2 linked regions of the Arabidopsis thaliana genome follow. The protein of the gene in region 2 interacts with the protein of the main gene of each other region in a pairwise test. Each region holds a gene or a part of one and is shown on either strand. Other genes may lie near its edges. The genes, in order: AT5G44920 and AT4G23950.

What was found.
Region 1: the proteins of AT4G23950 (region 2) and AT5G44920 interact in a protein complementation assay, tested with the Arabidopsis thaliana proteins (one study listed by BioGRID).

The regions. Positions count from the first base shown.
Region 1 is NC_003076.8:18,136,514-18,140,690, reverse strand, and holds AT5G44920 (Toll-Interleukin-Resistance (TIR) domain family protein), read right to left. Parts: upstream 1,917-4,177; 5' UTR 1,727-1,916; coding exon 1,224-1,726; intron 962-1,223; coding exon 697-961; 3' UTR 501-696; downstream 1-500. Other genes in the region: ARAD2 (Exostosin family protein), read left to right, coding at 1-65; AT5G44910 (Toll-Interleukin-Resistance (TIR) domain family protein), read right to left, coding at 2,456-2,711, 2,868-3,337. UniProt on the Arabidopsis thaliana protein: Could play a role in nuclear morphology, specifically nuclear size.
Region 2 is NC_003075.7:12,440,001-12,445,182, reverse strand, and holds AT4G23950 (Galactose-binding protein), read right to left. Parts: upstream 3,137-5,182; 5' UTR 2,887-3,136; coding exon 2,676-2,886; intron 2,531-2,675; coding exon 1,380-2,530; intron 1,306-1,379; coding exon 1,217-1,305; intron 1,091-1,216; coding exon 853-1,090; 3' UTR 636-852; downstream 1-635. Other genes in the region: AT4G23960 (F-box family protein), read right to left, coding at 1-84, 275-418; FtsHi1 (FtsH extracellular protease family), read right to left, coding at 3,342-3,539, 3,611-3,860, 3,949-4,061, 4,154-4,512, 4,650-4,764, 4,938-5,133. UniProt on the Arabidopsis thaliana protein: Encodes a member of the mid-SUN subfamily of SUN-domain proteins. It is involved in early seed development and nuclear morphology. [TAIR].

The sequences.
Region 1 (4,177 bases), on a different chromosome or scaffold from region 2:
ATGGAAGTGACCCTCAATGTTCTTGTTTATGCTCAAACCAAACCGGGATCATCCATGGTGTCTAGTAAGGTTAAATGCCTAGCAAGCTCATGCTAAGCAACAAAATGTGATCATTATTAATGATGAATCAAAGACTGGAAAGGTAAAGAAATGTGATCATTTAGTCCTTATAAATTATAACTAGAACCATTCTTTGTTCTTCGTTTTTTCCCAAATACATGACTCAGTACGCCTTTCTAAGCCTTTTCTTTTTATATAGGAACAACAAGAGAAACCACATCACTCTCTAATTCCGGGTCAAGGGTTTGATCAAGAATGCGCGTTTCCTGGTGGGTTTTGACTTTGGGAGTGTTAAATATCAAGAGAGATTCAAGCAAAGAGAGGTACATTTTATCTTTTAATTTGCTAATACTCAAAGACCACCACACAAGTGATGAAATCAACCATTTACATTATTAGCTAACCAATGGAGAAGCAAAAGACTTTTAGGGCAATGAGAATTTCTAGTCATAGAGCCTACACAGAGAACAGAAACAGAGTAATACAAAGCACAAGTTTGTTCTTTAAAATAGTAACTGACAATTACAACACAATTATTAACAAAGAGACACACAAATGTACAAAGCAACCAAATGATCTTTAACACCCCATTTAAACAACACACAAACAAACAGCATAAAGTTGCACAAAAGCCACTTATGAAGGAGGTGGTGCTTTGTTCTGGTTATTTTTGTACCAAAACCACGACGCAAGAACAACTGCCAGAGTACCTATGAACCATTCAGGAGTCTGGAAAAACTTCTGATCAGGGAGATACTTAGGGGCAATGAAGAAACTAAAGATCAAGTTGATGGTTATAGCCAAGAAAGCAACTCCTATAGCTGACCAACTGTTGTCAGTTGGTATGTTTAGCTGTTTCTTAACCTCCTTAACAATATCCAAAACAAAATCGGTATCGTGTCTGCAAAAAAAAAAATTATAACATGAGTTAGAGAAAGAAGAAGATGATGCAAGTAGGTTTTTACTTTTTTTTGGTTATATCAATAATACAAGAATCATCAAGAAAACTCGAGCGGTCAAGTTTCGGCATATATCGCTCGGTCAAGTGGGTTGGTGCCTTGGTGGATTTGCGGAAAACTCCTTACCAAAGAGATCTACTAATCAAAGATCAGTCGGGCATAGATCCAAACATAATCAAGAATACATGTATTTTGAAGTATTACTTGTACTTTGAGTTTGACCGGGAAAACCCTATTCTTTTTGTCACAGATCTCAGGGCACGCTCCCAACCCTCGACCCTCTCAGGCTCCCCTGCATGGTTTTGCTTCAGTTGCTTAAAAGGAAGGGAAAACTCTCCATCAAGATTGCCTTCTCCATCGGGATTGGCTGCTCTTTTTACATCGTCCGATCTTACGTTATAGAAGATTGGAATCACCACGAGTTTCTTTTCCTTCATCTGTTCATTCATCGTCACAAGCTCATCCAAACACCACTTTGACTCACAGTACCTCTTGGAGAAGATAGCAAGCGCGATTTTTGACTTCTTGATCCTTGTGAAGAGATATTGTAGTCTTCTCCCTTTCTGCTCTTTAGTGTCTATGAAGACGTTGATCCCTGCGTTTCTTAATTGCAGCTCTAGATGGTTGACAAAGATTTCGCGCAGCTCATCTCCTCGGAAGTTGATAAACACCTGATCAGAAAGAGGTTCTTGGACCTGCTCATCCATTGGAATGGTGTCTAGGTTCGTCTGAATAAAAAATAGTGAATATAGTTGGTGAGAGACTTTGTTGTCTCACTTTGTCCTTTAAAATACATTACAGAGAAACGATTCTTTAATTCTTCAGACCAATCAGTGGCTCGATGCCAAGTCTGCGCCTATCCTCAGTCTTTCTTTAATATTATACAACATTATTGTCTCAATGGATCCAAATACTCTAAATCCTGGGTCATGGGTCGGGTAAATAATGTTTTTGAAGACAAACTATAAAGAGTGAAACAACTAAACAGAGATGTAATCTATAGCCAAACAGTGCAAAACTGTTAAGTTTCCAATATCGATACCTCCGATTCCTTAACCAAACCAGTACACACTAACACACCATACACGAGAGAGACTAGCACATCACTAGGTCAGCTCTCAGTACACCATATGAGAGAGACTAGCACATCACTAGCTCAACTCTCAAGTCTCTCATGCAAGACTCACACAATTCAACAACAATCAACAATAAGCATAGATTCTCTAAATCGATATCTCTCCTTATTTATACTCCCAAGCCTGCAACCGCAAACCCTTTGTCATGCCCAGAGACTTTGCTTTCCTTCCCAGCTCATCACACAGTCAACACACACAGTCAACGGTGTTGACTGCCTCTGCTTCTTTCTTTTCTTTACTTGCTTCTCCAATCGTATCAAAAGCCATTTGACCACAAGTTGGTGATTAATCAAGAGGTCATCATCTGTTTGGTTGGGTCCGTAGACAGTAAAGCTGGTGCAAGATACCAGCCAAAACTGGAAACCCTAGTAAACACTTAACAGCTTTATTAACTTTCACATCAGTGCATAGTAAACGAGCTACAATGAGACTACAGATAAAAACCGCAGCTGAAGCCAAAACAAACACTTGTCCTTTAGTAATATTTTGTCTTTCAGAGTCCATTAGCTCGCTCTTAACCGCCGTGACGATTGCCCTCACAAGACCTAAACCCGTTCTGCAAACATATGTCAGGAAGAAACCGTTAAATGAGCTCAAATAAGTAGTCTTCCTAAGAACAAATTAACAAGAATTGACTAAAAAAAAAATTCATAGAAAATTCAAAACAGTTTGTGTTTTCACTACTTATAAATTTCATCAAAAGAATAATTACCCGTGGTCTTCGGAGGTTAAGCCGGTCCGCTCTACTATTGAACTCAATGAATCCTCCCACTTCAAGATCTTGAGTGGATCGTTTGCGTATTTCTCCCTCAGTTCCTCGAAATGATTACCGAATTCATCCTCGAGGTTCTTTACACCGCTTATGCTCACATCATAGAAGACAGGTATCACCTTAAGGTTGCTTTGTTCTACGTGCTCGTACATCTTTTGAAGCTCGTTCAAGCACATCTCTGACTCTGTATACCTCTTGGAGAAGATGACGACCGCGATATTCGACTCCTCGATCTTTGTGGAAATATTTCGTATGTCTCTCCTATTTGCTTCTGCTCTGTCTACGAAAACGTTGACTCTCTCGTCTCTCAATCCCCACACAAGATATTTGATGAAATTGTCGCGCGATTCGTTTCCATAGAAACTAATGAATACTTGAGGAGGACGTTGGTACGGTGGTGGTTCTGCCATGGGAGGGTTGAGAGTTGAGACTTTCTTGCTTTAATTTTTCTTCATGAATATATGGAGAAGAAGAAGCTGGAAAAGTAAAAGATTCATTTCTTGTTTTGGACCAATTCATTTCAAAAGTCAAAGCATTTATTTCTTTTTTAGGAAAAATTCATTTCAAAAGTCAACTCTTGGCAACTGTCTTCTTTATTATTTTTTATGGAAAAATTGGAAATATAGGACAAATATTTAGATATTTGTTCATCTATATTCAATGAACAAATGTAAACTATCCTTAAACTATTCTTGTATTAGATATTTAGATTTAACTACTTTTTTTTCAAAAAAAGGTCATAATAATTCATAAGAAATTGTTGAGTGTCCCTAAAAACACGAGATGTCTAATGAAGTCATCAAGCAGCTCGGTAGTCGTGGTCGTGCTGGATCCATTATTGAGCTTTGGTCAAGCACGACCACGACTACCGAGCTGCTTGATGACTTCATTAGACATCTCGTGTTTTTAGGGACACTCAACAACTTCATATGAATTATTCTGACCTTTTTTTGAGCTTTGGTCAAGCGAAGAGACTATGTGTTTCTTTGGGTTTTAACTGTTTGGAATAGAGAAGCGGAGACTTTGGGAACTTTTTGCACAAGAAAAATAAAGCAAAAGAGTGAAAAGTGGTTACTTTGAAAGAAACATTTATCTTTAGATTTGTATTTTTTCTTCTATTTCAAGATCATAACCAAATAAAACATGTGGAAGTCTCATTGATCTAGTAGTTGACCAAAAGTCTTAGGTGGTAGGTTATAAAGGAGATAGTGTTATTAATCGTAATCACTTTTATCAATAATTGATGCAAG
Region 2 (5,182 bases):
CACAGTCATGACTTGTTTAGTAACTGCAAAGAACGCCTTCCACCCATTAACCGGAGTTCCACCATTTGTTTCCTCTGTAAATTCCTTTGTTGTAGAGAATGAAATGAAGGAAAACAATTGGATCAGCAAGACCAGTCTTAAGGCAATATCAATGAATTCTAAGAAACCTGAGAGTGCAAGAATAAATCTCATTTCTTCAAACCCTAAGAAGCACATTATTCCATAAAGCTACAACAACAACAAGACAGAATGGTTAAAGAGAGTCCAAAATTACTTGGAAATAAAGGGCTCTCCAGAGGACATCGTCATTCGCTGTCTTTCTCATGGAGGAACTCGTCATTGATAACTGGCAGAGACTTGAGTAATCTAAGTATCTGAGCGCGTAGCATGTAACCTCCGGAAACAATTGCTCGATCATCGACATTCCCGCCGCGTTATCATTACCGAACTTCGACACCACCATTTCCTAAACCCTTTTTTTGGTGGAGTCGAGAATAGTGAGAAAGAGGGCAAAGGATCAAGGGGATTGTTTTGTTTTGTGGTTCCTTAAAATTTAACCCTAAAAAACAAAACCGTTGTCTCTCTTGGAAATTGGGAAGAAATTCGTTTAATTCAGTTTCGGTTCGGTTTAGTTATTTTTGGTTTTCAATTTATTTGGTTTTCTAAGCACCGGGCAGATTACATTTACACCTATGGAAGTTGGAACATCAAACACTAAAGAAAATCAGTTGTCACTGATAGTTTGGGTCCAATATTATCAATGAAAGTTCTTTCTACTCCTAATCCTAGGGTTACAAACTTTAATAGCAAGGCACTGTTATAAAAAAAAAAACCTAAGCCTAACTCTGCTATCTAAGAGAGTAAATGAATGAAAATCATGATGCTGCTGCTTAGCAGTATCATGACCCAGCCACTATCCGGCCATAGTGATCGAGCTTTATCCGTAATAGACATCCCCAGAAATGCCCAGAGTCGTGTTGAGACTAACCGAATCGTTGCTAAGACCACGAAAAAGAGGCTTATCAATAGAACTCCCAGCTCTTTACTCTCTAGATTAGCTTGTTCTTTCACAATCTTCTCTACATCCAATCTGATATCAAGAAACAAGAAGAAATATGGGGTCAACTAAGAATACGTTTCAAGTCATGGGATAGCTCTCCGCTTGAGATTTCAAATCCTCTGTTTTCTCTATTTAGGAATAAAAAAGAGTACTGACCTCAATGCAGAGTTTCCTCTAGCCAATGATTCTACACGGGAAGCTACAAGAGTTTTCCATAGCTCTAGGTCTCTAAGTTCCTTTTCCTGCTCAAAGAATATCAAATTCATTGGTAGTTTCTTCAACGGACAAAGACTTAATCATAAGAAATTATTGAATTTACCATTTTCCCTTTCCATTCTGTGATCTCTCTGATGTCAGCTTTGCTTTTCTCCACAAGTACTAGGGTTTTCTTCATCTCCAAGCTAACCTCTGGTTGTTTGTCATTCATTTTCTTTACAGAATCCTCAAGAAGCGATAAATTCATCTCAATCAATTTCACTTTCTGCATCATCACTTTCAAAACGTTATGCTTCTCCTTGACTTCATACTTTTTGTCTCCTATGATATTAATCGTCTTCACAACATCATCTTTCTTCTTCTGAGCTTCAGTTTCTTTGCCAATCTGATCTGTCCTATTGCTTTTTATTTCCCCATCTTGTTTTTCATCTGCAGTTTTTAGTTCCACCATAGCTGGTTTACTGGGAGGAGTCTCTGATGGAACAAACAGATCTTCAAGCATTTGCTCAAGAGCATCAATGCCAAATACCTCCACAACACTCAGAGTACAGTAAAACTCAGACCCATAGTGACTAACTAAATTAAGTTTCAGATATCTCAACCATTTAGGTTCCGGGAGCCGGAATGACTGGATCTGCTTAACGTTTGCAGCCGCAAAACTCCCAGCAGGTGTCCACATATCACTAGGGAAACTCAGACTCCCTGACAAGCTAAACTCTTTGGGATTCGAAGAGTAATGCTCAAAATTTGCAATTCTCACCGTATCAACCAGTGTCTCCTCGGCGAGCTCAATCACAACATACTTATCTGACACTGAACAGGGATTTCTTAGATACTTATCATGATCTTTGCCAAGCACATTGCTAGCTCCTTTTGCTTCCTTGTTGTGATCCACAACTTTAGCACCCTTCATAGCAGAAGCGTAGTTATACCCATTTCCATCTGGTTCTAACCTATAACGAGTCCCATTATTCACAAGCTGTGATGAGCCATTAACTTTGAGACTCTTGTCTTCAAGATTGACATATCTAGGATCACGAGCTTCCAGAGTTTTCTTGCTTATTCTTCGTTCTGGCAACACAACTTTGCAGATCAACAAAGCGTTGTTCACAAGAACATGCTCATACACATCTTGTAACTGGCCTTTTCTCAGGAGACAAAAGTTGTTTTCTTTCTCAGTGGCCTGAGGGAAGACAGAACTCGTGGAATTCAGTGTCTTTGAGACTGATCCATCAGTGTAATTCCCAATTCTATCTACAAAATAAATTGATTTCTTCAGAGGAACACAATATAGCAATCTCTGGAATATACCCCCCAAGTTAAAAGACCCTAAATTTGTTTCCTTAATTAACATTTGAAATGATAACGGAATCTCTCTCAAACAAGGAAGAACACTTACCTGCATTACCATAATCATCATGGCTTTGGCCAAGCTTGGAGTAGACGAGGAAGAGGAAGCACCAGAGTAAGAGAACGAGAGAGATAGAACGCTCGAAGAAGCTGCCGCTTCTGGAATTAAAATTATCAGCCTTGTCGGAGATTCTGACAATTCGAAACCTTTGCAATTTTTCATTCAGGCATATCGTCGAACAGCTTCCGCGCCTCGCCATATCTATAAAGCAGAGAAGAGATCTATACTCGTGTGTGACATGCACAGATGGAGAGAGTCAAGAGAGATCGTTGGTTGTATGACTATGACCTGTATCTGTAGAAACCGAGAAGAGGGCACGAGGAACAAGAGCAAAAGAAGACGGATGAAGAAGAAGAAAAAAGGTAAGAAAGAGAGTGCATGACTCGTGTTGTTGCTGTCTTGTGTGGTTTGAAACAAAGAACCAAACTTTTTGTCCGTCGATTTCCTCGGAATTAAAACTTTTTTTGTTTCTAAATTTATACTTAAGTTTGTCTAATCTATTGTTAGCAAATCAAAGAAGTGTCTTTGACCCAAGTTTTTTTCTTTATTTCTGTAAATTTAACTGTCCGAAACTTCAGAGATTGAGTCGAAGTTACAATGACGGACAATGAATAAACCTAAGCTTAGTGATTTGATGTCTCTGGGACGCCGGAATCATACTTGAGCATTGACGTCGGTAGAGTGATTAACAAGGACAAAGTCGCCGGATTCACGCCGGAGATGTTCAGGGACAAAAGGAAGACTTCCCGGATTTTGCTCTTGTAAGAGAGAATTTAACGGAGTCTGAGGAGGGTAATGGTCAAGTATGAAGTCTATTGCTTCTCCACTTATCTCTTTCTGGTTCAATAGAACCTACACATGGGAAAATAAAAGTATGAACAAATCAAACGAAAACGCAATTGCGGTTAAATGTTTGAAATTACCTTAACGGTTTTGAGGAGAGCGGTTTGGTTTTGCCTGAGGAGAGAAACTGTTTTGTTATACATCTGGCTAATGAGTTCTTCGCTTCTATGTGCGACTTCATCATCCATGTTGAAGTTAACTGGCGGCTCGACGAGGTCATAGTCGTCATAGAGAGATCCTTCAAAGTCTAAGCGTGGTCCCACGAACTGAGGTCTCTTTCTCCATGGTGGTGGTTCGCCATGTATCACCATTGGGTTCTCCAGGTTCCATCTGAAATCCAAATATATATAAGTCTTGAGTAAGAAGAAGCTTTTACTTTAAAGGGGAATGTGAAAATATGCAAAATTGGGCCTCTCACATGGTTAAGATTTTACGAGCTAGCCATGAGGCGTCAGAGAGATAATCGACTGATGCCTTTGAAGTATCTGAACCGTAGATCACTTCTTCTGCAGCTCTTCCTCCGAGCAAGACCTGAAATAGAAATTTTAGAAGTATAATAAACTCGTAACATCGAATATTAGAGAAATGAGTGAAGAGTTTTTTTAATAGAGAAAAAGAAGCACCTGAAGACGATGAAGCAGTTGTGGAAGACGACCAAACATGTAGGACTCATCATCAAGCCGATGAAACACAACTTGAGACAGTGTCTGACCACGAGGAATGATAGAAACGCGATCGCACCGCTCAATCTTTGCATTCTCATACCGCAATAAAAGATGTGAAGTGATTGCCACTCCGACTTCAGTTGTGGCTCTACGACACTGACCTTGATGTCCCAATTCTAAACCAATACGTGTCGGACCAACAGTGAGTCGGTCCACAGCGTCGTCCATGTCTGATTGAAGAATCGAGTTATGCGTTTTCCTGACAGCTACAAGAGCAGCCTCTTGAACCAACTGTGCCAGTTTTGCTCCGGACCATCCTGTAATTGATATAAACAATTACTTTAATCAAAGTTTTATACAGGCCAATACGTTCAAACACATAAGTTGTCTATGGGAAAAGGTACACCATGAGCATAACAAATATTCTTTGCAACATCAATTGTAGATTTTATACCTGGTAAGTTACTTGCATAAGATGATAAGTCAACAGAATCCGACATCTTGACTTTGCTGGCATGAATCTTCAGAATATCCAATCTCCCTTTCGCATTAGGGGGACGGACTCTTATCTGATAAGAAGATTATTTTTAACGGTCTATCCGGTACTCTTAAGTCTACAAAATTAATGCAAGATAAATTCAAATGGCTTGCGATTGTCGTTTGGTTGTTTATTAATTCGAATAACTGCTATCAAAAATTTGAGAACAGAAGATTTAGTGTCTAGATTTTGTTAATCACAAACCTTTCGATCAAATCGACCTGGACGTAGAAGAGCAGGGTCTAACAAATCTCTGCGATTGGTGGCACCCAAGAAAATCACACCTTTGCCTGTGTCAAAACCATCAAGCTCGATGAGTAGCTGGTTCAATGTGGTTTCTCTTTCTTGTGTGGCCGCATTGTACAACTGGTCTGAGTTTTCCTTGAAAATCCCTTGACGTCTAACGAATACCAAAATATAAAGAGCGATATCAGTTAAACTCCGTCTCA